4 linked regions of the Notamacropus eugenii genome follow. The protein of the gene in region 4 interacts with the protein of the main gene of each other region in a pairwise test. Links are inferred from orthologs where the notes say so. Each region holds a gene or a part of one and is shown on either strand. Other genes may lie near its edges. The genes, in order: SSC5D, C5H1orf216, KANSL1 and NUP62.

Evidence for each region.
Region 1: the proteins of NUP62 (region 4) and SSC5D interact in binary tests that used the Homo sapiens proteins (3 or more experiments, as listed by UniProt). The two-hybrid records come from large-scale screens. The link is inferred for Notamacropus eugenii from reciprocal best matches to the Homo sapiens genes NUP62 and SSC5D.
Region 2: the proteins of NUP62 (region 4) and C5H1orf216 interact in binary tests that used the Homo sapiens proteins (3 or more experiments, as listed by UniProt). The two-hybrid records come from large-scale screens. The link is inferred for Notamacropus eugenii from reciprocal best matches to the Homo sapiens genes NUP62 and C1orf216.
Region 3: the proteins of NUP62 (region 4) and KANSL1 interact in binary tests that used the Homo sapiens proteins (3 or more experiments, as listed by UniProt). The two-hybrid records come from large-scale screens. The link is inferred for Notamacropus eugenii from reciprocal best matches to the Homo sapiens genes NUP62 and KANSL1.

What each region holds. Positions count from the first base shown.
Region 1 is NC_092876.1:18,059,852-18,067,603, reverse strand, and holds the start of SSC5D (soluble scavenger receptor cysteine-rich domain-containing protein SSC5D), read right to left. Parts: upstream 3,343-7,752; 5' UTR 3,120-3,342; coding exon 3,095-3,119; intron 2,363-3,094; exon of another isoform or gene 2,283-2,362; coding exon 2,256-2,282; intron 1,502-2,255; coding exon 1,193-1,501; intron 994-1,192; coding exon 724-993; intron 11-723; coding exon 1-10. Other genes in the region: NAT14 (probable N-acetyltransferase 14), read right to left, coding at 5,237-5,478.
Region 2 is NC_092876.1:83,994,107-84,002,181, forward strand, and holds the start of C5H1orf216 (UPF0500 protein C1orf216 homolog), read right to left. Parts: upstream 3,293-8,075; 5' UTR 3,185-3,292; intron 1-3,184.
Region 3 is NC_092873.1:346,575,681-346,583,652, reverse strand, and holds the start of KANSL1 (KAT8 regulatory NSL complex subunit 1), read right to left. Parts: upstream 3,148-7,972; 5' UTR 3,124-3,147; intron 2,959-3,123; exon of another isoform or gene 2,596-2,958; intron 2,547-2,595; exon of another isoform or gene 2,312-2,546; intron 1,058-2,311; 5' UTR 918-1,057; intron 1-917. UniProt on the Homo sapiens protein: Non-catalytic component of the NSL histone acetyltransferase complex, a multiprotein complex that mediates histone H4 acetylation at 'Lys-5'- and 'Lys-8' (H4K5ac and H4K8ac) at transcription start sites and promotes transcription initiation.
Region 4 is NC_092879.1:31,951,591-31,959,036, forward strand, and holds the start of NUP62 (nuclear pore glycoprotein p62), read left to right. Parts: upstream 1-4,167; 5' UTR 4,168-4,281; coding exon 4,282-4,369; intron 4,370-4,691; exon of another isoform or gene 4,692-4,827; intron 4,828-4,913; coding exon of another isoform or gene 4,914-4,977; coding exon 4,978-5,109; intron 5,110-7,446. UniProt on the Homo sapiens protein: Essential component of the nuclear pore complex. The N-terminal is probably involved in nucleocytoplasmic transport.

The sequences.
Region 1 (7,752 bases), on a different chromosome or scaffold from region 4:
CGCAGATACTCTGCAGAGGAGGGACTCAGTGAGCCAGGCCTTCATCTAAGCCCTCCAGGTGCCTGGGTCCCTGAGGGATTGGGGGCCAAGAGGCAGAGGCTTGGATCCCTGAGGAGAATGGAAGCTGGGGGCTGGTAAGCCTGGGTGGGCCATATGTTCTGGGGAGCTCCACTCCTGGGTGTCAAGGGCCAGAGGGCTTCACCTGACTATGCAGAGGACACCTGAGTCCCTGAGGACAGTAGGGAATGAGGAGGCAGATCTCCAGATCCCTAAGACAGGCAGAGGGTGGGCAAGGAACAGGTGCCTGGATACCTGAGTCTCTGAGTGGGGTGGGGGTGACCATGAAAATAGCAGGTCATGTAGGTAGCCTTTTGGGGGCTGTACAGTGGGTACAGAATCAGCTGACATCAAATGAGGCAGGAACCAGAGAGATGGACATGTGGGTCCTGGGGGCGGGGGAGGGGCTAGGGAGTTGGACATGTGGGTCCTGGGGGGAGGGGCAAGGGGATTTGGACGCGTAGGCCCCAGGGAGTTGGGGCAGGCAGAATGAAGGGAGATAAGAAGTAAAGGTATCCCCCCACTGACCTCATGAACATTCCTAATAGTACCCAGATGTAGTTTTGGCTGCGGACTTGGGGGGGAACTAAACTGGAAATGAAAAGGTGGAGGGGGGTGAGGGGAGTTGGCTCTATCTTAGAGGGACATGTGGGGGTGGTCACTCACCCTGTCGGAAAGCACTGGAAGTCAGCAGAGGGGCCCGGGTGGCCTTGGGCAGCTTGGGAGGCCGAGGGGCCTTCTGGGGGCTGCTTGTCGGGTTCCCAGCTAGGGGAAGGGTGAATGAGGGAAGGGGAGGGGAGATGTAAGCGTCAGGCTCTGCAGATTCTGCAGGGGGAGATCTTGGGGCCTCACCTGGGGATGTTGGGGAGCTCTCAGACCACAGCTCCCGGTCCAGGGGCTCTGTTGAATCCGACCTTGAGTTGGTTGCCCGCTGACCTGTAGGGAGTGGGCAGATTTGGAAGAGCTTAGTGGTGTTTAGTGGGGAGGGCCCTGGGAGTTCCAGTGCCAGGCTTCCTAAAACATAGTGTTAGGTACTTTGGGGTCCCATGCCAGAGTTCTTGGATACTTCCATCTTGGAGAGGGTGAGGATTAGGAAAGAGCAGGACCCTGGAGGGCCGGGGACTGGAGCTCTTACCTACACAGACGAGGCCAGCGTCCTCCTCGTGGGAGCAGATGTGGGCCTTCCAGCCTCGGTGACGACAGAGGCCCAGCCGGCTCTCAGACCCACGACAAGCCAGCTCACTCAGCCAGACTGGCCCGATCCCCTCTCCAAAGAAAGCTCCTGCTGGGGCGGCCAGGGCTCCTCCACAGCCCAGCTCCCTGCAGGCCACAGCAGCATCCCGCAGGTCCCAGCCGTCGTCACACACCGTTCCCCAGCGCCCCCCGTGGCGCACCTCCAGCCGCCCGGCACAGCCATGGGGGCCCCCAGCCAGGCGAAGCCGCTCTGCCGAGGGGGGTCCAGTGAGGAGGGACCCTCATCTAGCCCAGCAGTATCCCTAGGCTTTTGAGGGGGCCTGGGGGCACTAAATACTTGAGCTGCTGAAGAGGCAGATAGGAGTCCTGGAAATCTTTATCCCTAAGGAACCAGGGGCTGGCATGCCAGTCCCCATGGATGCCTGAGGAGAGTTGAGGTTTAGAGAGCAGACACCTGAGATCCTGAGAAAAGCTAGGTCAGTGAGGGGAGCAGGGCCTGGGAGACCCAAAGGCTGAGTCACTGAGGGTTTGAGTTCAAGGTTAGAGAACTGAGCCGGGCTAGGAAGCTGGATGCCTGAGTCCCTGTCCAAAGAATGGGTTGGAGGTCCTGGGGTGCTGAGAGGGTCTGAGTCCCTGGGATGAGTAGGGCTGGAGAAGCACACGTTTGCTGGGTGGCTGGACACTTGGGTCCCTGTTGGGGAGGGGGCCCAGGGATCCCACACTCCTAGGTTTATGATGGGCAGGGTAGAGACTCGGGGCTTCTGAGGGAGTGGCTGTGTACTGGGGAGGGGGAAGGCTGGGTTCCCATGAACAAAGAATGAAGAGCCTAATGTTTGGAGCCCTGTGGTCTAGCCCACAGTATCCTTGATGCCTGTATCCCCAAGACAACCAGTGAGGGAAGGGGAGAATCCAGTGAGCTCCAAAGCTAAAGCCCAGAGGTGGAGTTGGGTGGTGACAAAGGGCATGACAGGGAAGGAGGAGAAGGGGACTCAGAAAAGACTCACCCACAGCCTGAATCCCCATCAGAACAGCTGGAAGAGAGATGAGGGCGATAAGGTGAAGGTGGGGAGTCCTTGCCCCTGTCACCGCCTCAGAGGAGACACTCAGGGATCTGGGTTAGGTATGAAGCTGTGTAGGGCCTTGACAGGGTCGAGCATTCACAAAGCAGTGGGGAGAGGGTCTGGATTCCAGGTTTCTGAATGGGGATGCCTGGATCTCTGAACCCAGTGGGAAGGACCTGAGGAAATGGAGCCCCAGTCCCTGGGAGAACAGTTCAGAAAGAGGAAGGGACCTTCAACCTGGCTTCCAGGAGAGCCTAGATGTTTGGACCCTTGATGGGGATGAGACCTGGACACCACAGGGAACAAAGGTCAGTGACGGTGGAGGCTGCAGCTGACTGGGCTCTTGAGAAGGGAATAGGGAACAGGGAACCCTATTTCTGGATCTTAGAAGACAATGGGGGACAAGATGCCATCTGGACCTCTCTTGGAGGAGGGTGGCAGACTGCTGGATCCTTTTGAAAGTAATGAAAACTAAATGTTTAGGATTGTGGAGAGTAGCCAGAAGAGCAAAGTGTATGCTGGGGGCTGGGACTCCTGGGTCCCTGAAGGGGAGAAGCAAGGACTCCCAGATGTCCAGGAGGCAGGGGCTGGGGACCAGGACTCTTGGGTCTCTGAAGGGGAGAAGCGAGGACTTCCAGATGTCTAGGAGGCAGGGGCTGGGGGTCAGGACCTCTGGGTCCCTGAATGGGAGAAGTAAGGACTCCCAGATGCCCAGAAGGAGCTAGGGTCAGTAGGAGGCAGGGGTTGGGAGCAGGGACCTCTGGGTCTCTGCGGTCACTCACCAAGGAGGTAGGCCAAGACCCTCATCTCTGCAGAGCCAGCCCCTAGGACCCAGGCTGGGGGGGCTGGGGGACGGGGGGGAGCAGACGAGGTCGAGGAGGCGGAGGCAGTAAAAGCTGAGGGGAAGTGCCGGCAGCGCCCTGGACTGAGGAGGGGCGGGCAGGCGGGCGGGGGCTGGGGACACGCCGGCACCAGGAAGGGAAGAGAACAGTGGAGGAGGCAGCGGGGGACCAGGAGGGGGCTGAGGAGGCGTGGGGGAATGGGGGGGGGGGGATTGGCTGGCCCCAGACACTTCGGGCGCTGGGCCGGGAGACCTGCCAAAAGGGGCTGGAGCAGCCTCTGGCCCTGGAGCTCTGCCTCAGTGGACCTCCCTCTTCCCTCGGGTCCTTCCCTCTGGGTGTCTCCCACTCCTGCCTATCTCTCCAGGTCTCTGCTCCTGTCCCACCCTCACTGTTTACCACAGCAGCCCCTCTGCTCTGCCCTACCCCACCATCCATGCCACTAGGGGAGAGGGTCAGTTGATGTCCAGATAATGGTCCAAACCACAGGGTTCAGCCTCCAACCAACAGTCACTTGTTGAGACAAGAAAGAACTGCAGGGCTGGAGGGTAAATGGCCAGACCCAAGCTGCAGGTCCCTGTCCGAAGGCGGGGGAAGGCCAGGCTGCCCTGAGATAGCCCCAGGATCGAAGGGGCGGGGAGAGAGAGTGGCTTGGTGGGGCCCAGGCTGGAGGGGGAGGAAGGGGAGTGGGGCGGGGGCAGATACTTGGCCCCCAAGCTCAGCAGGCAGATGTGGGGTGGAAAAAATGTGCTAATGGGGAGCGTGAGTCATCAAGGTTGGCAGGGGATGGGCCCTGCAGCCTGAGCTCATCTCAGCCTGCCTGGGGCCTGGGTCTGGGGTCTGGGGCCTGGAGCACCAGTGGCTCAGAACTCCCTCCCTCCCCGAATATTAATGTGGCTCCAGGGCCAGACAGGCCTGGAAAAGGGGGCTGGAGGACCTGGAAAAGGCATCACAGCAGAAGGGAGGCAGGCAGTGGGTGGGAGTTTCAGTTTATTAACAATGGGGATAAAAACAGATGTGAGGGGAAAGGAGGAATGGGAGGGGAGAGAGAGACCCAAGGCAGAGACGAAGGGTCATCTCAAGGTGTGGGGGAGCCAGGGGGTCACTCTGTGGGTCCTCAAAGCAGAGGGGAGTCATCCTGGTAGCCAACTGATGGAGAAGGGAGTCCAACCCCACGGGACGGTCCCCAGAAAAGGGGAAGATCACTGATGGCGCTTGGTAAAGGATCCTGGGCAGGGTGCTCTGGGAAGAGGGAAGTCTTGCTCAGAGGGGTCCAGTGAGGCTAAAGGTTAACTGAGGGGGGCGAGAGCAGGAGATCCTGTGTTTGCAGGGGCCTTCAGTGAGTCTGAGGGAGGGATGTCTGAGAAGGAACTTCTGGGAGGAAATGGGATGAGAACCTTGGGAGATCTTGGCAGGGCACAGAACCACAGAATAGTTGGGGTCGGAGGACAGAGCTACCCAAAGGCAGTTGGAGGCTGACTGCCTGAGGACCCCCACAGTGGACAGGGGAGATATGGGGGGTCATCAGAGAGTCACTGGTATAAAAAGGAGCAGCCAGAGGATGGGCCAAGGGTGATCCCCCACATTTAATCCTGTGAGGTGGGCAGTGCAAGTATCCTTTCCCCCAGTCCTTAGGGGGTGATGGAGACCCAGAGGGAAGGACTAGGCCAGGGTCATGGACTAGGCCAGAACCAGAGCTGAGACTTGAAAGCATACAGGTGTCCCGGATGGCTCCATCCTCCCTGAGCCAAGGCCAGGTTGCGGAGAGGACACAGTGGGCATTAGAATTCTTTCGTAAACTCCCTCACAAATATGTGTCCCATCCAGCCCCAGCCCCCCTCAGGATGGTAGCCCCTTCCTTCCAGGAGGGCAGCGGCTCCTCGGGCTCCTACTGGAGCAGGAACTATGAGCTTTGCTCTAGGGCCCCCTGCCTGGCGGGCCCATGCCTGGGCTCGGGCCTCAGCGAAGGCCAGCAGCTTCGTGGCCACACCACGTCGACGGTGCCAGCGGGCCACGGCCAGGCGAGCTACGGACAGGCTGCTTCCACTGGTCCCGGGCCTCAGGGCCAGGACCCCGCACACGTCATCAGTTCCCCACACTGCCACCCAGGGGCCTCCTAGGCCAGAGTCTGAGGGGAGTGAACCCCATCGCATCCGCACCATCAGCTTGAGAGCAGCCACAGCCAGGGCGACGGGCAGAAGCAGGGCCAGGGCGAAGGAAGCCAGGACAAAGCGGAGGCCACTGCTGGCAGCGGCCAGGAGCAGAAGGGCAGGGGGCCGAGTCAGGGCATGGAGGGCCACGCGGTTCTCTGTGTCTTTCACCCCATCCTGAGGATAAAGGGGCACAAGTCAGGGGTACAGAGAGAGATGGCACTCACTGGTGGGGATCCTGGTGGGGAGGGGCTGATGGGAGAAGGCTAATGAAGACTGGGAAGGGGCACAGGCCAGGGCTGGTGAGGATGCCCTCTGAAGGATCCGCTGGGGACAGGGCTGGTGGGAATATTCAGGGCGCAGATCAGCCAGTCATCAGGTTTTAATGAAGCACTTACTATGTGCTAGACTTCAGGCTAAGCCCTGGGGAGATTTCTGGAAGGGAGGGCTTTGGGAGGGACCCATAGTAGGAAGCCAAGGTGGGAGGGAGAGAAAAATCTGCCTTTGGTTCATTGAAAATAAGTTATGTAAAAATAGTGATGGGGAGTTCCTGGTGAACTTGGGGGGTGGGGCTGGGTAAGAGCCAAATTTGGGGGGTGGGGCGGAGATCATGGTAGGTATCTCAAGGGAGGCAGAAAGGTGGGGAAAGGCCAATGGGAAGCTAGAGGTGGATGAGGTTGTGGAGGGAGCCTGAGAAGGGGTGGGGTGGGCCCCCGAGGAGAGACCTGAGGAAGGAGCAGTGAGCAGCCTGGTGGAAACACTGGGGGCCCTGGGGGGAGGGGATAGCTGGAATGCTAAGGAGAAGAGCTTTTGGGGGGAAAAGAGGCCTAGGTCCAGGCCAGTGGGACTGAGAAGGAGAGGTTCCTTTTTCCTCCTTAGGTCTGCAGGAAACGGCTTTCTTCATTCTCCTCCCGGCTCAGTCTCCTCTGCCAAATTAACTGTCCCATCCCAGGATCTCTCTATGGCCTTCCATACCTCATGGCTCCCTCCGGGCCCCCCCTTTCCCTAGCTCTCTCGGCCTCCTCGTCAGCTCCCAAGGGTGCAACAATCATCCCTACACCAGAGACCCCGAGTCCTCAGGCTAACCTCAGTGTCTTTCCTGATTGTCAGGCCTGGATGGTTGACTCTGTCCATCCCATGGGCATCGAGTCTGACATGTCTAAAGCATAACTCATCTTTCCTGCTCTATGACCTCACTCGGGGATCTCTTCTGCTCCCATGGATTCAATGGCCAGCTAGAGATGCCTGGGATTTCCAGATCTATGTATCCAGCCTGAAGCTCTCTGCTCCCATCTCCAACCCCCTCACAGAAACCTCGACTGTAAAGGTCAGACATCTTTACTCCACAAGCCCCCACAGAGCTCATCATCTTCTCTCCCCAGCCTTTCCCCTACTACCTTCCCTATTACTGTGGAGAACATCATTATCCTCTCGGGCCCTCAGGCTTAAAAGCTAGGTGACATCTAGGATTCCGTACTACTTATCACCCCCATATCCAAGTCCTGGCCAAGGTCTGTCCATTTCACCTCCTCTGCATCTCCCCAATCCACTCCCTTCTCTCCTCTGACCCTGCCCCACCCTGGTGCAGGCCCTCACCCCCTCATGCCTGGACTGTGGCAACAGCTGCTGGGAGGTCTGCCTGCCTCTGTCTCTCCCTAAACTCCACAGTCCATCCTCTCTTCCATCACTAAAGGGATTTTCCTGAAGTGCAGGTCTCATCATGTTACCTCTCCTCCTTAATAAACTCCAGTGGCTCCCTATTGCTTTCAGCATCAAGTGGAAAATGCTATTTAATTTTTAGAGCCCCACCTCCACCTTTCCAGGCTTCTTACACCTTGTTCTTCTCTATGTAGAGGCAGCAAAGGTGGCTGGGTAAGGCACTGGGCTTGGAGTCAGAAAGACCTGCGTTCAAATCCAGCTTCAGATAATCATTAGCTGGGAGGCCCTATTTGCCTCAGTTTCCTCACCTGTAAAATAAGACTAATATCTTTGATTCCTAATAAGGATCAAATGAGATAATATTTGTCAAGTACTCAACTCCACACCATACAGAGGCCCATCCCTGTCCCTTCTGTGTGATTGTGTTTCAGACAGGCCAGCTCCCCTCTCTGGTCATTGTTACTGGCTGTCTCCCAGGCCTAGAGCTCTCTCCCCGCTTCCTGGCTGCTTCCTGGCTTCCTTCACATCTCAGCTGAAGCCTGACTTTCCCCATCATCCTCCACCTTGGGCCTTCCCTCTGGGATTACCTCCAGTCTCCTGTTGGTACCTCCTTGTTTGCATCAAATGGTGAGCTCTTAGGACAGGGAATGGGGTTTTTCTTTCCTTGTATACCTTGTATACAAGCCTGGCAACATGTAGCAGCTTAATAAAAGCATGCTTACTTGATGACTTTTCCCACAAATTTATCCCTTTTCCAAACGGGCACCACCATCCCCCTGGGACATCCCCCGC
Region 2 (8,075 bases), on a different chromosome or scaffold from region 4:
GACAATCCCAAAGGGCTAATGATGAAACATGCTATCTGCCTCCAGAGAAAGAACTGATATTGTTTGAATACAGACTGAAGCATACTATTTTTCACTTTCTTTCTTTTTTTTCTTTTTATTCTAGGCTTCTTGTACAAAATGACTAACATGGAAATGTTTTACATAATTGCATATGTATAACCTATATCTGATTGCTTACCATCTCAAGGAACAGGGAAGGGAGGGAGGAAGGGATAGAATTTGGAACTTAAAACTTTAGAAAAATGTTTAAAATTATTTAACATATAATTGGGGGAATAAGATACATATATTTAAAAAAAGAAATGGTGAGCTGGTTGATTTTAGAAAAAAAAAAACATGGAAAGACTTATATGAAATAATGAAGTGCACAGAACCAAGAGATTATATACGGTAACAGCAATATTGCTTGAAGAATAATTGTGAACAATTAAGTTACTGAGTACTATAAATACTCAGATTAGCTATAAAGGATCTATGAAAAAAGATGGCATCCACCTCCAGTGAAAGAACTGATAAACAGAGGGAAGCATAGTATGGAAATCTGTGTCAAATGGTGGCATTCTCTAGTGCAGGATGCGGAGGAAGATAATTTGGAACTTAAAATGTGAAGGGGGAGGGGGAGGAGGAGGAGGAGAAGAAGAAGAAGAGGAGGAGGAGAAGAAGAAGAGGAGGAGGAGGAGAAGGAAGAGGAGGAGAAGGAGAAGAAGGAGAATGAGAAGAAAAGAAAGAAGAGGAGGAGGAGAAGGAGAAGGAGAGGGAGGGAGGGAAGAAGGGAAGGAAGGACAGAAGAAAGGGAGGAAAATGGAGTTGTCCAGAAGTAGAAAAGCTGCCTGCCTGAGGGAGGGGTAGTTCCTCTCTCTTTGAAGGTCTTCAGACACTTCCCAGAGATCATTTGGCCCATAAGTTAAATGGCGAATTCCTTTTGTGTATGGGTTGGACTATCTGGCTACAGGCATTCCCTACCAACCTTCTGATTTTGTGATTCTATGACTGTATGTTCACAACTGCCAAAATGATATTCCTTTAGTACAGGACTGCTCATCACTCTCCTGTTCAAGAATTTGCAGTGTCTCCCATCTTCCTCTAGGATAAAATACAAATTCCTTTGTTTCTCAAATTCTTCACAATCTGGCTCTGACTGATCTTTCCAGACCTATTGCACATTCTTCTTCTTCATTCACTCTAAGTTCCAGTAGAATACTTGCTTTTCCCTGAACACATTTCCTCTCCTGTCCCCATATCTTTGCACAAGCTGTCTCTCAGTCCTGGAATGCTCTTGTTCCTCACTGCTGCTTCTTGAAATTCCCAGATCCCTTCAAGGTTCAATTCAAGAGCTACCTTGTTTAGAAGGCATTTCTGGATACCTCCAGTTTCTACTCCTCCCCCAACCCTGTGTCCTTTTTAATAATGCATTCTATATTTTCTTCTTGATGAATATATTTTGTATACTATGTATCCTTGATTTACTTATCAGTACACATTTTTATATCTTGACTTATTGGTGTGCATTTTTGACAAATATTTCTTCTTATTGGTGTGCATGAGTCCCTCTTCTCTGCTCCCACCTCCTACCCTCAAAGCCTTTGATGCCAAAACCTATCTCATTTTTGTATTTGCATTTCCAGAGTTTGGCACAATGCCTAGCACATAATATGTGCTTAATAAATACTTGTTAGTTGATTGACAGATTGACTGATTATCAGATAGATTGGGACACTGAGGTATTGAGCAGAAAGGCCCTGAATAGCTGAGTTGACTCCTCCTGGCTTCCACATTAGGAGGTCCTTTCTATCCCTGTCTTCTGTTGCTATGGTGCCCATTATACCTAGCTCTGTCTGTCCTCTCTCTCCTCTGCTCTGATCAGCCATTACCCTCCCTGTGAATACTTTCAATGGGCAGAGATTAGAACAAATGTATTTGTCCAAGTGTAGGCTTGAACTCACAGAGAAGGTGTCATCATCAACTATATACATTTTGTGTATTGGCAAACCAAGGCTTACAGAAGATAAGAAATTATCCTGCCAGGCAGCCTAACAAGGCGGGGGCAGTGATCAGAGGACGACAGGGGGAAGGATAAAGAAAGGCGAATGGTCATCACAAGGTGTAGGGAGGGAGGATGGGATAAAATATTGTTTATGGAGCTGTGTTTTAATGGTCTTCAAATCACCAGGTATGGTGGCTATGAGGTATATGTACGTACAGTATGCATTTGGGGCTGCGTATATGTATATGTACGTACAGTATGCATTTGGGGCTGCATATATGTATATGTACGTACAGTATGCATTTGGGGCTGCGTATATGTATATGTACGTACAGTATGCATTTGGGGCTGTATATATGTATATGTATGTACAGTATGCATTTGGGGTTGCGTATATGTATATGTACGTCGCGTATATGTGGTTTATGCATGCCCATGCATGCAGGTTGTGTACATGTGTGTGTTGCATATTATATGTATACATACATTTTTCTGTATGTACCTGGGTAGTGTAGCTGTGTGCCCATGTATGTACAGCGTAAAGCATGTGTAATATGTATGTATGGTACCTGTGTGCAGGTTCAACTGATGAGAGATATGGAAATGAGTGCTAATCAGTCATTTGGTATTCACTAAGGACAAAAACTAGCCTGGCAGGACTGGCAATTCCTTAGGCCCTGCCCCCAGAGGGTCTCTGGCACACAGGTCCACCTCCAAGACCTTGCGCAGAAGCCAGGCCCAGAGTGGTGGAGGATCCTGAGGCTGGTAGGGAGGGGAGAGAATTGTGAGGAGAGCAGGGCTCTAGGGTCAGTCAGCGCCCTCACATACACCCCATCCTTGTGGAGTACAGGCAAAGCCGGAGCATCCTTAACCCCATCCTCATTTTCCTGTTCCCCTCTTCTTCCCCATGGGCCTCCCGCAAGCCCCGCCTCCACTCCCCATTCCCAGCCACTGCTCTGGCGGGGGTGGGGGATGCTGCAGGAGACGCTCCTCCTTCCTCTTCACCCTTACCCACCCCCCCACCCCCACTCCCCACCCACAGCCCTGGGAGGCCAGAGATGAGTCTCTCCCCTAACATGGGCCACTGCGGTGTCCCCCCCGCGCCCTTTATAGAGCCCCAGCCCCCGGAGTTTCTCCCCTCAAAACAAAACGACCACCCTGCCCACAGCCCAGACTCACAGCCCAGAGGTGCCCAGGCCCACCCGACTCGGGCTTCAGCTCCTCTCCGGCTCCAGCCGCAGGAAAGCGTCACTGAGTCACTGGCCTGGCAAGGAGTGCGGAAAAGGGAGGGGCGGAGCCCCGGCTGCAGCGGAGGCTGCACACACACACACACACACACACACACACACACACACACACACACTCCCAGACACACAGGAAAACGCAGAGACACACACTCGGGAATACATACAGGCACACTCAGAGGCACACACTCAGGCACACGCAGGCACAGATTTGGGCAAGACAGGCACGCACAAATTCAGGCACACTAAGACACAAACATACGCACAGAACACACTTGCTGGGAGAGGTAGGGGACATGAGAGGGGAAGTAAAGCCATCCTCCCACAAAGGAAAGATTCTTGGGAGAAGGATACAGACAGCAAAAAATCCTTTTTTTTTTGCCAAGCAAGGAGAGGTTCACACACACACACACACACACACACACACACATATCTGTATACTCCTATGTACAGACCCATGAATAAATTCTTTTCTGTGTTTTAGGAGCATAATACTGAAAGCTTCTGTGCGGAGCAGATGATCTGTAAGCACCCTTCCACTTCTAGAAACGCTATGACCTTTACAGTGGAAATGACAGAATGATGTATGCTGGCAATTCAGGCAAGTACACTTAACATGTACTCATGTCTGTGTACTCATTTGCAGATATGTCCAGGAACAAGCTTACATGTGTAGGTATGCCTGTACATGTACTCCATGTAAGTAGGTATGTAAATGTTCTTGTGCAGGTTCTCATTCTCTCTAATTTATTTTTTGTCAATTTACCATGGAAGTTGTTCCATACCTTCTCTTTTCTCCTTATGTCACATAGTACCCTCTCCTCCCATCTTCTCAGCAGAGCGCCTTACCTCGTACCTTACCTGAAAAAATTGAGGCCATTACTTAGAGCTCTCTTTTCTTTCTCTTTTCATCCCATATTTTCATCCTTTACTATCTCCTTTAGTCCATTCACTGAAATAGTCCTCCCCATTGCCAAGGCTAACCCCTCTGTAACCTCTTGATTCCATCCCATCTCTCCCATTTTTTTCCTTCACATTGCCTCTACTATCATCCCTTCTCTTTCATGATTGATCTCTTCCTATGTCCTAGTTCCTTTCCTATTTCCTACAAACATTCAAATCCTCCCCCATCCTTAAAAAACGACAACCCCACCATCCCTGAAACTATTGTCCTGTATCTTTAATCTCTATATCTTTAATCTTTAAACTCTTCGAAAATAATGCATATACATGGAACTACCGTTCTCCTTTCATTCTACTTTTTATGTTAATTTTTATTTTACTTCTTTTCAATTAGTAAATATTTATTCTCTCTCCCTTCTGCCTTCTCCCTCCCCACCCTTAAAGAAAAAGAAAACCCTTGTAACAAATACCGATAATGAAGCAAAACAAATTCCTGCATTGGCCGTGTCCAAAAACACATGTCTCATTCTGCATCTTGAGTCCATCGTCTCCCAGGAGTTGGGTAGCTTGATTCATAATAAGTCCTTTGGAATTGTAAGTGGTCATTGAGTTTCTCAGAATTCTTAAGACTTTCAAAGCTAATTGTTTTTACAATTTTTAAATTATAGACATTGTTCTCCTATTTCTGCACCAGTTCATACAAGTCTTCCCAGGTTTCTCCGAAATCCTCTTTCTTTATTTCTTGCAAAATAATATTCCATTGCATCCAGATACCATAATTTGTTTTTCCATTCCCTAAATGACGAGCACCCACTTAGTTTCTAATTCTTTGCCACTACAAAAAAAGAGCTTCTATAAATAGTTCTGTATGTATGAGTCCTTTTCCTCTTTCTGAGGAGGAGTATAGTTGGGTCAAAGGCTATGCACAGTTCAATGATGTTTTGAACATAATTCCATATTACTTTTCAGAATCAATCAACACTGAAATCCATGCTCGAGCTGAACTGCCAAGCATTCAGACTATGCTTCAGAGAACACAACTCCGATGGTCTGGCCACGTCGTTCAAATGCAAAATGTATGCTTGCCAAAAAAGGCTAGTTTATGGAGAACTCACATGGGGCAAGTGATCACATGGTGGTCAGAAGAAGAGATGCAAGGACACTCTCAAGGTCTCTCTCAATAACTTTGGACTTGATTGTGCGACATGGGAGACACTGACACGGGACTGCTCAGCATGATGTGCCCACATCAGAAAGGGTGCTGTGATGTATGAGCAAAGCAGAATTGAGATAGCACAAAGTAAACATAGGATGCACAAATTTGGAGTATCCATCCCAAATACTCACATGGACTATCTATATTCAATCTGGAGCAGAACATTCTGAGCTCATATTGGTCTGATCAGCCACAGGCAGACACACTGAAACTTCACTTTATCATGGTGATGTCATTTTGGTCCTCTTCGAAAGCAACAGAGAACAACCAATTGTTGCTCTTTTACCCAGGAACCCTGAGGGTCTTCTCCTCCCAGTTTGATTTTTTTTTTTAATTAAAGGGGCCATCCCTTGAACATGTGCTTAAAGAAGTCTATTCATTGAATGAGTGTATCTCACTCAAAGTGAGAATGCTATAAGACCTTAGTCTGAAAGGGCCAGGGTCTCCCATTGCATCCTGGATCATCTCCAACTGTCCTGATGAATATCAGGTAACTGGATCCAGATGGCATGGGAGAAGAAAGTGAGGTTGGTGACCTTGCACAGCCCTCCCTCACTCAAATCAAAGTCAACTGCAAATCATATCATTATCTTGATGTCATGGTCCTCTTTGAGAGTGAAGGACGAACACACATTTTTTTCCCCCAAAGCCTCTGCAAACCTCATCATTCAATTGAAATCTATTTCTACAAAGTAATTTCTTCTTCTTCTCCTCCACTCCTCCTCCTCCTCCTCCTCATCTTCCTCCTCCTCCTCCTCCTCATCTTCCTCCTCCTCTTCCTTCTCTTTTTGGTGAGACAATCAGGGTTTAATGACTTGCCCACAGTCACACAGCTAGTAAGTATCGGAAGCTGAATTTGAACTCAGGTCCTCCTGACTTCAGGGCCAGGATACACTGAGTTGCCTACCTGCCCTATGACCACTTCTTAATGACCAAATCTAATGATATCTTCTCATTATTCCTCCTCCTTAACCTATCTACATTTTACACTGTCAACCACTCATTCTCTAGGTTACTTTCTGAGTTTTCATGCTATTGCTCTTTTCTGGTTCTCCTCCTACTAGTGTGATCTGTCCTCAGTCTCCTTTGCTGGCATGACATCTATATCACAGCCCTTTAAGTATGGGTGGACCTCAAGGTTCTGTTCCCAGTCCTCTTCTTTATATTCTTTTTTTGGAGATGTCATCAGTGCCCATGGGTTCAATGATCATGTCTTTGTTCATGAATCCAAGATCAATATACCCAGCCCAAGCCTCTTTCTTGAATTTCAGCCTTTCGTCATCAACTGCCCATTGGACATGTAGAAATGAATATTCTTGGGGTATCTCAGACTCAGCATGTGCAAAAACGAATTCGTATTTCCTCCTAAATTCTCTCCTCTACCAAACTTGTGGTAGAATTGTGAACTGATCCAACCATTTTGGAGAGCAATCTGGAATTATGCCTAAAGAGATAAAACGGCATAATCTTTGACCCAGCAATGCTACTATTAAATGGTCTGTTTCCAAAGATGATTAGGGGAAAAGAAGAAGAACCTGTATGTTCTAAAATATTTATAGCAACTCTTTGTGGTGGCTAAGACCCGGATATTGTGGGGATGCCCATCAACTGGGGAATTGCTGAACAAGTTGTGATATATGATGGTGATGGAATATTACTGTTCTATAAGAAATAATAACTTCAATAATCTTAGAAAAACATGGATAGACTTGCATGAAATAATGAAGAGTGAAATAAGTAGAATCAAAAGAATGGTGTATACGGTTACAACAATATTATTTTAAGAACAACTTTGAGTGAATAAGTCATTTTGACTATTAATACCCAAAGTAACTACAAGGGACATTTGAGGGAAAACACTATCTGCATCCAGAGAAAGAACTGATAAATAGAAATATGTATAGAATGTTTTTACACACTCACACACACATAGACACATACATGTTTATGTCTAATGGTAGCCATATCTTGGATGAGGGAGAGGAGAAAAGAAATTCAAATGATAACTTTATTATATATGTATAAATTTATTATTATTATTATTTTATTTGTTTTCATCACTTCCATATATCTTGGATTTTTTTCCCCTTCCTCCCTCCATTTCCCTCTACCTCCGCAGTCCCTCCTTGAGACAGCATACAGTTTTATATAAGTTCTACAATACATTCCTATTAAATACATTTTCACCTTAGTCATGTTGCATGGAAGAATTAAAATGAATGGGAGAAATCATAAAACAAAGCAAAACATAATACAAAAGAAAATGATCTGCTTCATTCTGCAATTGAATTCCATAGTTCTTTCTATGGATGTGGAAGGCACTTTGCTTTAAGAGACCATTGGGAATTATTTAAGTCCTCACATTTTAGTGAAGTACTAAGTCTACCAGAAAAATTCCTCACACACTGTGGTTGTTGCTGTGTACAAAGTTCTCCTGGTTCTGCTCCTTTCACTCAACATCAGTTCATATAAGTCTTTTCAGACCTCTCTGAAGTCTTCCTGTTCATCATTTCTTATAGCACAATAGTATTCCACTGCATTCATATACCATAATTTATTCAGTCATTCCCCAATTGATGAGCATCCCCTTAATTTCCAGTTTTTGGTCACCACAAAGAGAGCTGCTATAAATATTTTTGTACATGTTGGGACCCTTTCCCATTTTTATGATCTCTTGGGGATACAGTCCTAGAAGTGGTATTGCTGG
Region 3 (7,972 bases), on a different chromosome or scaffold from region 4:
TTTATCTTTTTATCCCTGGCACCTAGCCCAGCATCTGGTACAAAGTAAGCACTTAAAAATGATTGTTAATTGACTGATTCCCCATTTTAAGTACCTTACATCACTGAATGGCACATATGGATCTTATTTAGTTAGCCCTTCTGGTAGGCATTGAGAAAAAAAAGAGATTGATAGCCTCCCTACTGAGAGCCAGCATACATATATCAGTTTGTTTCTTTATATCAAAGTGAGGGTCAGGCACGCTGATGGCAGCTTTATCACCAGACTTTTATCTCCATTGTTGGGATGGAGTTAAACCAATGACATGTGACTTGGCACAGGATTCCATCTGTACAGCGTTGGGGCATGAAAGCTTTTGTAAAGGACAAAGGAAGAAGGACATCCATAATGACCATTCCTCAGCCAAGCCATACTCAACTCTCTAACAAGGTTATTTCTCCAAAGACCAAAATGGCAACAGAATTTTAACATACTGTAGAAAATTACTGAAAAAACAAGTGGTCCATGACTCTTTTGAGGTCTCTAAGCTACTGATTTTCAACAGTAGTATGAACACTTGTACATATGATGTAACAACTTGGTCATTAAGTTTAAAGGTAGAACTAATTTTTAAATTTTCTAATCCATTCTACCACATTTAAAAAGCAAAACCTGACTATGTAGCTTCTTATGATTTAAATGAAAGAACTGAACACAGAATAATGGAAAATGGTTCCAAAACTGAATAAATATTTTTAACATCCTTGACAAGGGACAATGCAACTAACAATAAATGGTGCTCTCTTCTAGGAAGAAAATGAACTACCTAATATTAATAAGCAAACAGAAAATACCAAGATTAAAACGTATTAGGTCATTCTCTAATTCAAAAGAACATAAATGCCAAAAGCACACAAACTAAGAAAAAAGACCTTTACCTTAACGGGCATCCAAGTAGCATTCATAGTGTCCAGAATAATGCACACAAGATTAAGAAGTAAAAAGAAAATCTTGGTAACTCCTCTGGATCTAACGAGGACCAGCACTTGTAAAAATCTTTACTTTTCAAAAAGGATAGCTGAAACAGAAGATTTTTAAATTAAATACAAATCAACATTATCTGCAAACCCAATAATTTTTAAAAATTAAATCAGTTAAATTTCTTATTTCCTCAAACAGCCATTCATCTCATCAATTTGTTAAAGTACTAATACTCTGCAAGCCCCCTGTGTACATATGTATATACATTATATATGTTTATATTTGTACAAATGAGGATATATGTGATGAAAACAATTCTGGATTTAGAATTTGAAAATCCTGAATTCAAATTTTGACTTTTTAAAACTTCTACTTGTGACCCTGGCCAATAAAGTCACTTAACTTCCCTGGGCCTGTTTTCTCATCTATCAACTGAAGAGAGTTGGTTATCTCAGGAATTTTAACCTGGGATCTACAAACCACCAAGGCATACATGGATAGATATGAGAAGTATATATGAACTCTGATGGGGAAAAAATGTTTTTATTCTCACTAACCTCTAACTGAAATTTAGCATTTCCCTAAATCACTAATATTTTAAAAAATTATTCTAAGAAAGAGTAACAGACTGCCAAATGGGTCCATGACAAAAATAGATTAAGAATCTCTGGGCTAGCTAAATGGTCTCTACAATTCCTTTCTAGCCCAAGCATATACAGAGAGAAGGGGAAGGGGGCAAGTGATGAATCAGAATTCATTATCTGGTAGAGGACTTAAAGTTCATAATTTAGAAACAGAGTTTTTATGTATAAAGACAGTCACAATACTCTTAGGCCCTATGTACTCCAAGTATTTGAAAAATCGGCTGTTTATATTTTTGAATTGTAGATATGCCCTTAATATTTCTAAACAGTCTGAGTAAAATCACCAAACTAACTAGAAAGGGACTTAGTACCTCAATAACAATAAACATCTTTTGATCCTTTTAAACAGTACCCTTTACTTAGTTGATAAAAAATGAAGTTCCAGGATCGATTCTATTTCCAAAACAAACCTACATCTTTTCTAATCTGAGAATGTTTAAGTGAAAGGTAATTACTCTTCTAGATACTTTTCCAAAACCCAGCTGTAGTCAGTCCAGTGTCTGCAATGGGTTTGATTTTGCCTGGTGGCATGAAATGACCACAAGGTTCCCTCAAGTCCGGGGTCCCTGAGCCCAAGGGAAATTCCAATAGGAGGCTAAGAGCTTACAGGAGTTGGTGAGCCCCTCAAAACAAAACAGAATAGCACCCACTACTTAAATTTTTTTCCTTCATGTGGAAAAATAAGAAAATTAAAGGTTTCCACACACACAAATTGACTGTGGGGGTAGAGTTCTTCTGGCCATGCCTTCGTCATCACACCAGCTCCTGAACTTGGCATCACTTCCCATGGCTTGGGCTCATTTCCTTACAGTTCATGGCACTGAGTGGAGGAGGTGGGTCGGGGGCCAGCTCGCGTCCAGGCCTCCTCCTCCCCCATCAGCATCCCCATCCAGAGGCCTGGGGATGGGGCTGGGGGGGAGGGGGGGCCATGCCCACTCCAGCCCTGCTCTCCCCTCCCCTCTTCCAGGTGGTCCCTGGTCCCACACCTCACCTCCACCTTCTTCCAGCCCTCTGTCGGTTCCTCCCCACTACGAAGCCCATTGTTGCGGGAGGACCCCGGGAGGCCCTGGGCGGGGGGGAGGGGGCTACGGCCGTTGGCCTCGGTTTTCCGGGCCCCCCGCAGCCCGGCTTCGGGCCCCGCGCTCGCCTGGGCTCGGCCTGGCGCCCAGGGCTCCTTCGCCGCTCCCCCCCGCCATCCCTGGGGCCGGGCCGGCGGCCGCGGGGGCCTGGGCTCGGGGGCGGCTGCAGGGGGAGTGGGGCGGCGGGTGTGCAACACGCACTCACACGCACTCACACACGCACGCACACATACACACGCGTCCCCTCTCCCCCCCAGCCCAACCCGCTTCCCAGGCCCGCGCCCCTGCGGCCGCCCACCCCCCGGCTTCCCCCGCCCGCCCGGCTCCCCGGACCCCCCTCCCCTCCCTCGACGGCTGCCCCTTCATCTCGCGGGCCCCCAGACCCCCCGCTCCGCCACGGGCACCAGCGCCAACGGCGGCTCCCCCGGCCCCGGACCTACCTGCACGGCTCAACCTAGCCTAGAAGTGGGGGGCGGGGAGTTGTCCGCCCTCCTCCGTCTCTCATTGGCCTACCGAGGTCAGGGCCGGAGCTTCATTGGCTGCGCCCGAGCGTCCGTCAGGGTGGCGGGGCGTGGCGGAAGGGGGGGCGAGTGATGCTGGTGCCCGGGTTCTCTGGTTCTCTCTGTCTCTCGGAGTCTCTGTCTCTGTCTCTGTCCGTGCATTCGGGAAATGTTTGCTCAGAGAGGCCGGGAGGGGCCCGGAGGTGGGAAGAAGGAGATGGAGGGGTCCTGGCAGGGCTTCCAAGAAGCATCCCCAGTCTGGTCCCCTGATCATGCCCCCTCTTCGTTCCCCAGCACCACGTCTCCCCCTCCCACCCTAACGCCCCCCCCCCCCCCCCCATCTCTTGGTTCTAGAGCCGGGCAGCGACATGATGGAAACTAAAGCAGGGAGACCTTATAAAAGGATGTTGCAACAATTCAGCCATAAATCAGTGGGGGGAGGGGGAGAGGAGAAGGGGGGGGTGGACACTGTGGACGTGGTGAGATGACACTGCAGGGCTAGGTAGCAGAAATGTGGCTATATAGACCTACATGATATAGACAGAGATGCAAGGATACAGGAAGGAGAGGTAGGAGAAAGTGGAAGGATGATGGGGCTACTGGCACTGACAGGAAAACTGGGAAGTGCTCCTCCTCTCCCACGCCCTGCCAAGTCCCTGAGACTCTGCAGTATCTCCCATCTCAATCTTCAGACTGCCACCAGCCTCTTACTAATACCGGGCCTCATGACCACCTGCACCTCCTTCTCTCCCTCCTCCCCCTCCAATCCATCCTTCATACCACCGCCACACATGAATCATTGGTATGGGGGGATTTCTATACCCCAAACTCTCCAATGGCACCTATTGACTATGAAATAATATTCAAAACCCTCAGCTTTGTATCTGAGGGTCTCCACAATCTGACACCCACCCCCTACCTTTGAAGCTTTATCTTATACTACTCCACTCCATATGCCCTAAGCTCCAGACAAACTAAACTAGTTAACTCTAATACAACTTCCACATCTATGTTCATGCTCGCTATACATGGAGTGCCCTCTCACTGCCCCCAAAAGAAATCTTACCTATGGCTAAAAGTTCAGTTCAAATACCTCCACCAGGAGACCTTTCCTTATTGCCCCATCCCTAGGATTCCCGCTCCAACCTTACATAGCACATTATACTTTTTACATGCTTGCCACCTTTTCCATCCTCATTTGTTTCCTGGGAGGATCCCCTGTGGCAAACTTTTGGGAACAGATAGACAAGAGCTGCCCAGGGCAGATAAGCATGCTGAGGCTGTGATCAGCATCACTGGAAGGAACTCCCAAATGGATGTACAAATCCATTTGAGTATGGTTAATTGTCTATGTACCATATCCACCTGCTAAAAAGTAGGCTCCATTAGGGTAGGGAACACACCTAAATGGTGTATTTTTACAGTGCCTGATATTTCAGGGAATATTGGTTGAATTGTTATTGAAGCCAAGTCGACTTGGGAGTAAGAAAAGAAACAGGGAACTCAGAAAAGTAAGTTGTAAAAGAAACAGAAAATTGAATTAGAAGGGAGGAGATTTGGTTTGTGTTGGTTTGCTACAAATTAGTTGTGCAACTTTCTTCTTGGGACATCTCTGAACCTAAAGAATTGAAGTAGGAGATAGGAGACCTGAGTTCAGTCCTAGTCCTATGATATCTCCATGTGACCTTGGTCAGGTCACACATCTGGTGACTCTGTTTCCTCAAATGCAATGTTAAAGGGTTGAACTAGATCAGCCCTTTCAGGGTCATGGTATTGTATAAGCTTTTTTTTTAACCTACTCAATTTCAAGTGTCAATGGAAAAGATAAGTAAAGAACTCCTAACTCCAATACTTACTAGCAATATGGCTATGGTCAAGTCAAAGGATCATCATGACCCTCCACTTTCTCATCTGTGAGTATAATTATGTTTGTACTGTGTACCTTGATGAGATGTTGATAGAAAATCTCAAAGTACCACATAAATGTAATTTGTATGTAATGGAATAGTATTATACAGTTTTTGAAAATTGATGAAAATAAGGAATTCAAAGAAAAATGGAAAGATCTATATGCAATGATGCAGAATGAAATAAGCAGAGCAGAGCAATATACAAAATGACAAAAATGTAAATAAAAACATTAAAAGGATGCGAAACTCTGTAGTAAAAATAACCATTCTTGGTATTAGAAACAGATTATAACATATGCCTTCTTCTCCTTACTAGGGAGGCAGGTGACTACAAGGACAGAATGTAACTTATTTTGTCAGGGCATATACAAAAATGACTGATACAAAATAAAAGGTATTTATAATAAGTCTCATTTAAAAAATAATTAACAAAGTGGGTTGTTATAATTTAGAGTTATGGGAAACAGGATTTAGAGCTAGAAGGAAATAGAGATCATTTGTTCTAAGCCAGTCATTTTACAGAACACAAATGCTGGGGTTTTTTTGGAATACTGGAGATAAATTTTTGGCTGAGCAGAGAGGAAATACTCATTGCTGGACTGCACAAGTGCCTCTCCTATGAAGAAACTTCAGTCAATCAATAAATATTTATTAAGCATATGCACTGTTCAAGGGTTAGGGATACAAATTTTAAAAGGAACTTACAATCTAATGAGAAATACAACATACAAAAGAAGATGAAAACAACTTATAAAAGGAGTTCATAGCTCCACCCTCTAATCAAAGGGACAATGGGTGGTGATGAGATAGAGAAGCCAGACTGATGGGATCTTGCAAGATGATGAAGTTTTCCCATTGATGAGCTTCCTGGGTTATGGTGGAAAAGTCAGAGACCCTCCAAAGTCCTGCAGCCAGGAGAGAAATGCCAAAAGAGTTGTACTGAGTTATCCTTCCTATTAAGGAGAAGTTTTAGAATTCATGGCTCCACCTTCCATTCAGAGGAACAGAGGCTGGTGGTGATTTTAGACGGATGACATAGATGTAATCCTGATAAATGGGACCTTTTTTTGTCTTTCTTTGCATCCTTCACTTCCCCCTTCCACTTCCCCCCACCCCCACATTTAGCATAGCACCTAGCACACAGCAAGTACTTAAATTCTTTTTGACTGATAGCTAGAAATAGCACCATGGTGACTCAGTTCTTAAAGAGTTGATACCAGTGAAGTATAAAATATGACACCAAGCTATAGAATTGGGTTTCAAGTATGGTCCCAATTTTAGACTATATATCTATTGTTGACAAATAAGCCTAGCTAAAGTTGCTCATATATGAAAGGAGAGGGTTTGGAATAGACGATCTCTAGGTCTCTTCCACTTCTGACATTATATGTTGTATGATTTTACGATCACAAACTTGATTGTAAGGTGATGAAATTTTCAACCACAAGTAGTCTAAAAGACCCCCCACTAAGTTATAGGCAAGTTATGATCTGATATTGTATAGATGTTATTTGTTTCAATTATTTTTTGTTGACTGAGATTCCCAAATACAGAGAATTTTTGCCTTGTCTTTGCTTACATTGTCATATGAGGATAAAGATTGTTTAGTCTGAAAATGAAAAGATATGAGGGAGACATGATAACTATCCCCTACTACGTGGAAGGGATTAAATTGTTCTATTTAGCCCCCAAGAGGCAAAATCAGTAGTAATGGGTAGAAAAGATCAATTTAGACTTGATATTGGAAAAAATTTCCAAGCAATTAGAGCTGTGCCAATATGAAATAGTCTACTTTGAGAGGAAGGCTCTTCAAGTAGAGGGTGGATGATAGAGAATGATAATAGTTAGCATTTACGTAGAGCTTTAAAGTTTGCAAGGCACTTTACGTGTGTTATCTCATGTCATCTGAATGACACCACTTGTCAGATATGTTTCTATGGAGATGTCTTTAGTATATGAGTTGGATTAGATGCTTATGAGTAAGGGTTTGTTCAACAGAGAGAATACCCACACTGATGAATTTAGAGGTCTTCAAAGTGTGGGTATATTATATTTGCTATTTATTATTAATTTATATTTATTTTCATTGCTATATATTATTTTATCATTATTGATGATGGCATATTGATGATAAAGACAAGAACATACCCCAATGATAGTTTCCTTCTCACATTTTATGTAATTAGAATTCAATTATATGCCATGGAGAACAATGAGAGAAAGTTACTATATTTAACAAAATAGTCATCTCAGCATTCTTTGTGGTAGCAAGAATTTCAAAATAAATCAATTGAGCAATGACCAAATAAATTGTAGCTTATGAATGTAATGGAATATTATTGTGCTATAAGAAACATTGAATATTAGGAATTCAGAGAAATATGGGATGACATTAATTGATGGAGAATAATATAAGCATAACTTAGGAGAAGAATATCAATAACGTAAAAGAAAATAGTATTACTAAGCAGTCACAATGACTTCAAAATGTAAATAACACTAAAAAGCAGTCAATAGCTGATAAATTAGGATAAGCAATTTTAGTGCTAGAGAACTGATTTCTTCCTCCCACTAGAGAGGTATGGAAAATGGATGTGGAACAAGTTATACGTTATCAGATGTTGTTACTCTGTTAGTAGGTTTAAATGTTTTTCTTTGTCCCAAGGAGAGTTCAGTGAAGGTGGAGAAAGTTAAGGGTAAATGTGGTGTTTAAAAACATAAAGGAAACAATAAAACTTTAACAATAAAAGTTCAAATGCAACATTTATTTCAATTCCATTTTAGTCCTCCCCAGGGAGAAAAAAAGTATCAGCAGTTCATTTGAAATTTGCCTTTTTAAATGGATTGTGAGAAAAAGCATTCTCATAGTGGATTGACTT
Region 4 (7,446 bases):
CTACTTTCTTGGAGAACAGGCATTTCCTCCCTTCCTCTCTGATGAGGAAGAACAATGCTTACCATCAGGCAAAGACACAGAAATCAAGGCTTCTGTGTCCCAGCCCACCCAATGGGCTCAGGCCATGGAAGAGCTCAAAAAGAATTTTGAAAACCAAGTTAGAGAGGTGGAGGAAAAGCTGGGAAGAGAAATGAGAGACATGAAGTCAAAGCATGAACAGCAGATCAGCTCCCTGTTAAAGGAGACCCAAAAAAATGTTGAAGAAAATAACACCTTGAAAACTAGCCTAACTCAATTGGCAAAAGAGGTTCAAAAAGCCAATGAGGAGAAGAATGCTTTCAAAAGCAGAATTAGCCAAATGGAAAAGGAGATTCAAAAGCTCACTGAAGAAAATAGTTCTTTCAAAATTAGAATGGCACAGATGGAGGCTAATGACTTTATGAGAAAGCAAGATATCACAGAACAAAGAGAGAAGAATGGAAAAATGGAAGATAATGTGAAATATCTCATTGGAAAAACAACTGACCTGGAAAATAGATCCAGGAGAGACAATTTAAAAATTATGGGACTACCTGAAAGCCATGATCAAAAGAAGAGCCTAGACATCATCTTTCATGAAATTATCAAGGAAAACTTCCCTGAGATTCTAGAACCAGAGGGCAAAATAAATATTCAAGGAATCCACAGAACACCGCCTGAAAGAGATCCAAAAAGAGAAACTTCTAGGAACATTGTGGCCAAATTCCAGAGTTCCCAGGTCGAGGAGAAAATATTGCAAGCAGCTAGAAAGAAACAATTCAAGTATTGTGGAAATACAATCAGGATAACACAAGATCTAGCAGCCTCTACATTAAGGGATCGAAGGGCATGGAATAGGATATTCCAGAAGTCAAAGGAATTAGGACTAAAACCAAGAATCACCTACCCAGCAAAACTGAGTATAATACTTCAGGGGAAAAATTGGTCTTTCAATGAAATAGAGGATTTTCAAGCATTCTTGATGAAAAGACCAGAGCTGAAAAGAAAATTTGACTTTCAAACACAAGAATGAAGAGAACCATGAAAAGGTGAACAGCAAAGAGAAGTCATAAGGGACTTACTAAAGTTGAACTGTTTACATTCCTACATGGAAAGACAATATTTGTAACTCTTGAAACATTTCAGTATCTGGGTACTGGGTGGGATCACACACACACACACACATGCACACATACATAGAGACAGAGTGCACAGAGTGAATTGAAGAGGATGGGATCATATCTTAAAAAAAAATGAAATCAAGCAGTGAGAGAGAAATATATTGGGAGGAGAAAAGGAGGAATTGAATGGGGCAAATTATCTCTCATAAAAGAGGCAAGCAAAAGACTCATTAGTGGAGGGATAAAGAGGGGAGGTGAGAGAAAAACATGAAGTCTACTCTCATCACATTCCACTAAAGGAAAGAATAAAATGCACACTCATTTTGGTAGGAAAACCTATCTCACAATACAGGAAAGTGGGGGACAAGGGGACAAGCAGGGTGGGGGGGATGATAGAAGGGAGGGCATGGGGAGGAGAGTGCAATTCGAGGTTGACACTCATGGGGAGGGATAGGATCAAAAGAGAATAGAAGTAATGGGGGACAGGATAGGATGGAGGGCAATATAGTTAGTCCTATACAACACAACTATTATGGAAGTCATTTGCAAAACTACACAGATTTGGCCTATATTGAATTGCTTGCCTTCCAAAGGGAAGGGGTGGAGAGGGAGGGAGGTAAAGAAGTAGGAACTCAAAGTGTTAGGATCAACTGTCGAGTAATGTTCTTGCCATTAGGAAATAAGAAATACAGGTAAAGGGGTATAGAAAGCTATCTGGCCCTACAGGACAAAAGAGAAGACGGAGACAAGGGCAGAGAGGGATGATAGAAGAGAGAGCAGATTGGTCATAGAGGCAATTAGAATGCTTGGTGTTTGGGGGGGGGGGGATAAAAGGGGACAAAATTTGTAACCCAAAATTTTGTGAAAATGAATGTTAAAAGTTAAATAAATAAATTTAATTAAAAAAAAAAGGGATCCCCCCCAAGAAAGGATCCCAGATCCCTTTTAATCTGAATGATTAGGGCAGCTACAAGAGAAGCCCCTTGCTTTTGGTTCCTTGGGATTTATTCCTCTTGGCCAGCCCTAGAAATCAAGACAAATCAGCCCTAGAAATCAAGACAAATCAGCCCCTGCTAATGACTAATGACTTCTAGTGGGAGTTGTAGTCCATAGACTCTGTCAGTCAGGCTTACTCAGCCTATCCTTCAATTAATCATCCTCAGCTAGTATTATCCTGCTAGTCTTCTGTTTCTCCTACAAGAGCAATTCACAGGACACTCAAGAGCTAATGGCATAGGTCACCAGTGGACGGGCCCAGATCTGGTGTCATTTGTCTCAGGACAGTGCTGATGACAGTGAGCAGACACAATGGTCAGCTTTCACCCAAGTGGGCAAGATCAGTCCTCACCTTGGTGAAATTTTGGGCTCCCCAAAGCATGGAAATACTAGTGTACACATCAAGATATCCACTCCAACCACTAGCCAGTCCTGGGAAAGTCCAGAATTGTTTTTGCTTAAGTTAGCTAGTAGTCACAGGGCAGCCCCAGAGCAAATGAAAAGCATGAACGGTGTGGGGGCAGGCTGAGCAGGGCAGACAACTACTTCTTTACCCCAGAGGGTGATATTGCTGTGACCAGTTACTTTCATTCTCTTATACTTTTAGAGTTTTAAACATCACAATTGGGTGATGGGGTGGGAGAGTGTGAAAAAGGAGACTGGCCTGGCCTGTGTTTATTGTACATAGCACATAGTGGAGGTCCAAGACATGGCTTTTCAGGGCCTCTTCATTTTACATATGCATATATGTTTTGCATGACTACCCATATATAACCTATATGGACTTGCTTGCCTTCTCAAAGAGGAGGGCTGGGGAGGCAGGAAGGGAGAGAAATTGAAATTAAAGTTTTAAAAACAAATGTTAAAAAATTGCTGTTCACATGTAACTGGGGAAAAATTAGATACTAAAATACAAAAAAAAAATCAAACACCAAAGCTCATTATATATTAACTTATTTTATCCTTCCAACAACCTTGCAAGACTGTCACTATTATCCTCATTTTACAGAGGAGGAAACTGAGGCTGTAAAAAGTTAAGTGACTTGCCCAGGGTGGTACAGCTAATGAGTGTCAGAGGCTGAATTAGAATAACTCATCTTCCTAACTTTCAGTCTAGGACTCCAGTCACTGAGAAGTTATAGTAGCCTCAGATATTGTCTGAAGCCCTGGGTTCTGCCCAAGAAAGGGGGACTCTATCCCAAAGGGGTGACTGCTCCCCAGGGAGCTGCTTAAGACAACCTCGCTCTCTGCCCTGCCCCGCCCCACGGGTCCACTAGGACCACTTCAAACTTTACGCAGCCCCCAAATGGACAAGTGGAATCTCCCTTGCTTTGCCCCTCCCCCAGGAGGCTGAGGGGGACTGCTCAACATGCCCCGCCCCCATAGGTTAATTGGTACCGCCCCCCTCGTGGTCCCTCTACACAGGGCACCTCCATAATATCCCCTCACTAAATGGCTGTTTGGGACACCCCATCATGTCTCCCCACAGGATTAAATAGTACTGCCCCCCATCGTGCCCCGCTTCCACTAAGCTGCAGAGCTCTCCTCCGACATGCCCCGCCCCCACAAACTATTTGGACCGCCCCCATTCGGCCCCGCCCCCATGTTATCGATACCGCCCCTATTGTACCCTTTCCCCCGAGGGCTGTTGGGAGACCCCCTATTTTGTGCCTCCACAGGTTAAATGTTACTGCCCCCGTTATGTCCCGCCCCCACAAGGCTGCTGGGATGGCTCCCATTTTGTCCCCACACTGGAGTAAATGGTATCGCCCCCGTTATGTCCCGCCCCCAAAAGGCTGCTGGGACTGCTCCCATAGGTTATTGAGGACCCCCACCACCGTGTTCCGCTCCTATAGGATAATTAGGACCACCTCCATCGGCCCGTGCCCCCCCCCCGCTCCCGCAAGGTTATTGGGACCGCCTCCATTGCACCCCTTCTCTAAAGGGCAGTTGAGCTGTCCCTATTATGCCCCATCAGGGTGGAGACCGCTTCTACTTTCCCCTCCCCCACGAGATAGCTCGTTCCCGCCTCATTGTGACTCCGCCCCCCTAGAGGGTTGCTGGGACCGCCTTCCTCCCAGCCCCGCCCCAGAAAAATCTCCTCAGCATCTCAGCGCCACGGCACCTGGGCAAACGACGCCTCAAGATGTTCCGCTGGCCTTTCAAGGGCCCAAACACCCCTACATCCCCAATGTCAGGCCCCGGCGACTCACATCAGAGGGGGAACCCGTTCCGTAAGTACAGCGGTACCGGGTAACCTTCATCACATTTTTCACTAGCACAGAATCGGGAGGTGGGAGGGCAGGCTCACGCGGGCTCCCTTCCCCCCCTTTTTTTCTTTTCTTTTCTTTTTTTCTCTTTTCTTTTTCTTTTTTTTACCTCGATCTCGAGGGTTTTTGTGGCGACAGCCTCAGCCCAGCCGGCTAACTCGTCGTCGCCATGCCCCCTCAGCCCCCCCTCAGCCGTTTCTCAGACTGCCAGCCCGCGCCTAGCCCAAAGGCCCTGACCGTTACCACTTTTCGGACCGTAAGAAATAGGGGGACGGATCGCCATTACCTGCCACGTGCGGTCTGTGTGAATGTCTTCCTCAGCTTTTTTCTGGAGGTTCCCTCCTTTAAGTCGGTTAGTGAGACTCGGTGGAAATTCTAATTTGTCCTCAAGCAAAAAAGAAGTCCGAGAGCTCAGCTTCTTTCTGTTGTCATGGCAACTACTGGCCTCTTTTCTCCCTCGTACCCGCTAACTTTTTGCACCAATTAGAAGAGCCTACCCTCTAGAGCGATGCAAGAAGCAGCCCATAGGACGTCCGGACCAATGGGAAACCTTCCCCCCTCCACCCCTCCAGTTCGCTGCCTCTGCTACAGGCAGCACCGCTTCCCTCCTAACCGACGCAAGACGCTGGCACGCTGTTGCGCAGGCGCACCTGGTTTGAACTTCACTTCCGGGCCGGGAGCGGGAGCGGCAGCCATTGTGGTGAGTTCGTATCGGCTTGGGGTTCTTTTACCTTTACTTTTCTGTTATTTTCCAACGGGAGTTGACAGATTTCCTTTCCCTGTACCTGGGTACTTCTGCCCACGCCCGAAGGCTGCATTAACTGCAAACAAAGCATTCTGGTTGTGAGCCGAAAGGCCGGGCACAGGGACCTTAGCGGAGCACCTGGGGGCTGCTTTTGTCGCCACCCGGCTTCTCTTTCTCCACGTGTCTGAGTCTCCTTCCTCAGTACAAGGAGTGGCGGGGGTCCTGCTTAGGAGGCGCCCTCTCTGACCCCTTTTTGTATCTTTGGACGAAAAAGACCAGCTCGTGGAGATAAAGTGTAGCCCTGCAGCACGCTGTCACTAAAGCAAAGTCTCACGAGCCTAAAGTTCCAAGTTTCCCGCCTTTTTATACTTCACTATGGCAGCTCTGTCCTTTCGCCTCTGAAATATCTTTGCTTGTTCTGTGCTTTTGGTACTTGGGGACTATTTTCTGATAAATACATAGAGAAATAGCGTTGACTTTCATTTTCTTGCGTGTCTGCGATTTGCTGAGGTGATTTTTTTTGCATTGTGTTTGTCAGTGACTTATCAGTAATAGTTGCTATTTAGAGTTTGCCTAAGTTTCGCACTGGAGTTCCTTAACCCATGTGGCAATCAATATTTAATACCTTTTATGAGTGTATATAGTAAGATCAACATGTATATTTTATTTGTAGACCAGCTGAGTTTCTTTTCTGCTGCCCACGCTGCCTACTTTTTCTCGTGTTAAGTGCCTTCCTTAATGGGGAAAGGGAAAGTCATCAGCATTTAAGGTTTTACCTTAGTAGTCTGGTACAGTGCTAAGAAGCTGAACCTCTCCGGAGTAATTCAGCCTTCATCAACCATAATAAAAAGTTTGCTGGAGCAGGAGGCCATTGAAGCTATTGGGGAAAATAGAAATTTTTTTTTTCTCAAAATTTCTTCTATGAGCTATTATCATAGAGAGGAAGTTTGGCATAGTGGATAGAAAGCTGGCTTCGCAGCTAGGGAGACCTGAGTTGAAATTCTTCCTCTGACACTTACTGGATGTATGACCTAACTTCTCAGCCCTCGGAGCTCTCTTGCTCTTAAGTTCTATAGAGCCCTGGGAGTTCCCGGCTCAAAATTCTTATCATAATAATAGTAAAATGTCTAAAGTTCTAATACAGTAAATATTCATAGATATACCCCAGGTAAATAAAAGCTCTTTGGGTGAGTCTTCAATAATTTTTAAGAGTTGTAAAGAGGCCCTGAGACCCTTTCGTTTGAGATTCGCTTCTCCAAGCAGTTTCTCTAGGACTCTTTAAGTTACAAAGAATGTGCCCACCAGCCATTTGTAGAGGGAGTTTACTCACCGAGTTCCCCAGTAATAGTGAAATCACGGGTTACAACCCCATCCCTACCTATTACCTTGCATAATCTGCTCTTTGTTTCTGTAAATTGGTGAAGCTTGCAGAGAGTAATATATAAATAAAATCTGAATTAGCACTCCGCAACTCTTCTATTCTTCTGACTGACCAAAAATTATAGTACCTGGGCTAGTGAACTCACTATTTTGTGTAGTGCCATCCATCAGATGTGCGTCTCACACACTGAAGGATGATAACTCACATGTACATGGTACTTTAAGGTTTACAAAGCATTGTCCTTCCAATCCTATGAGGCTGTTGTTTATGGCTAACCCCACTTTACAGATGAGGAAGCTGACCATGGTCAGCTAGTAAGTGTGAGAACCATGTATTGGAACTTGGTTAATTTGACTCCTAGTCTTACACTCTTTCCACTATGCTTGCCTCTCATGATATTTGTGGATTCAAAATAACTGGATATGATTACATGATTGCCACTTTTTATCAGAAGACATAATATGTATTTCCCAGAAACAACCTGGCCAGTTTGCTCTGGTGAGACAGTCTTAAAGAAGAAAACAGGTGCCCCGCTCAAACCAAGCTACAGAACGGCACAGACCTTATTGAAAACACCCTGTGGATGCATTAGACTTACACAACTACATAAAATATGTTCCCTTTGGTGGTGTATCATTTGACATATAGCTGCAACTAACAGACCAGGTGTGAGTGGCCAAAAAGTATCTCTGATTTCAATGAACTTTGGTTCTAGATGCTATACCAGCTTGTCAGTTGTTGATTACTGTGTGACTGAGACCTGACATTGGTGCTGTTGCCTAGAGGATCTAGAAATGTATGTGTCTTTTTCCAAGATTATGGTACTTGATGACCTGGTGGTGTGCTGAGTTCTCCCAAGCTAATGCTTTGCTTGGAAACTCCCCTTGGAATGTAAGTTGCATGCCCATAGGAGGA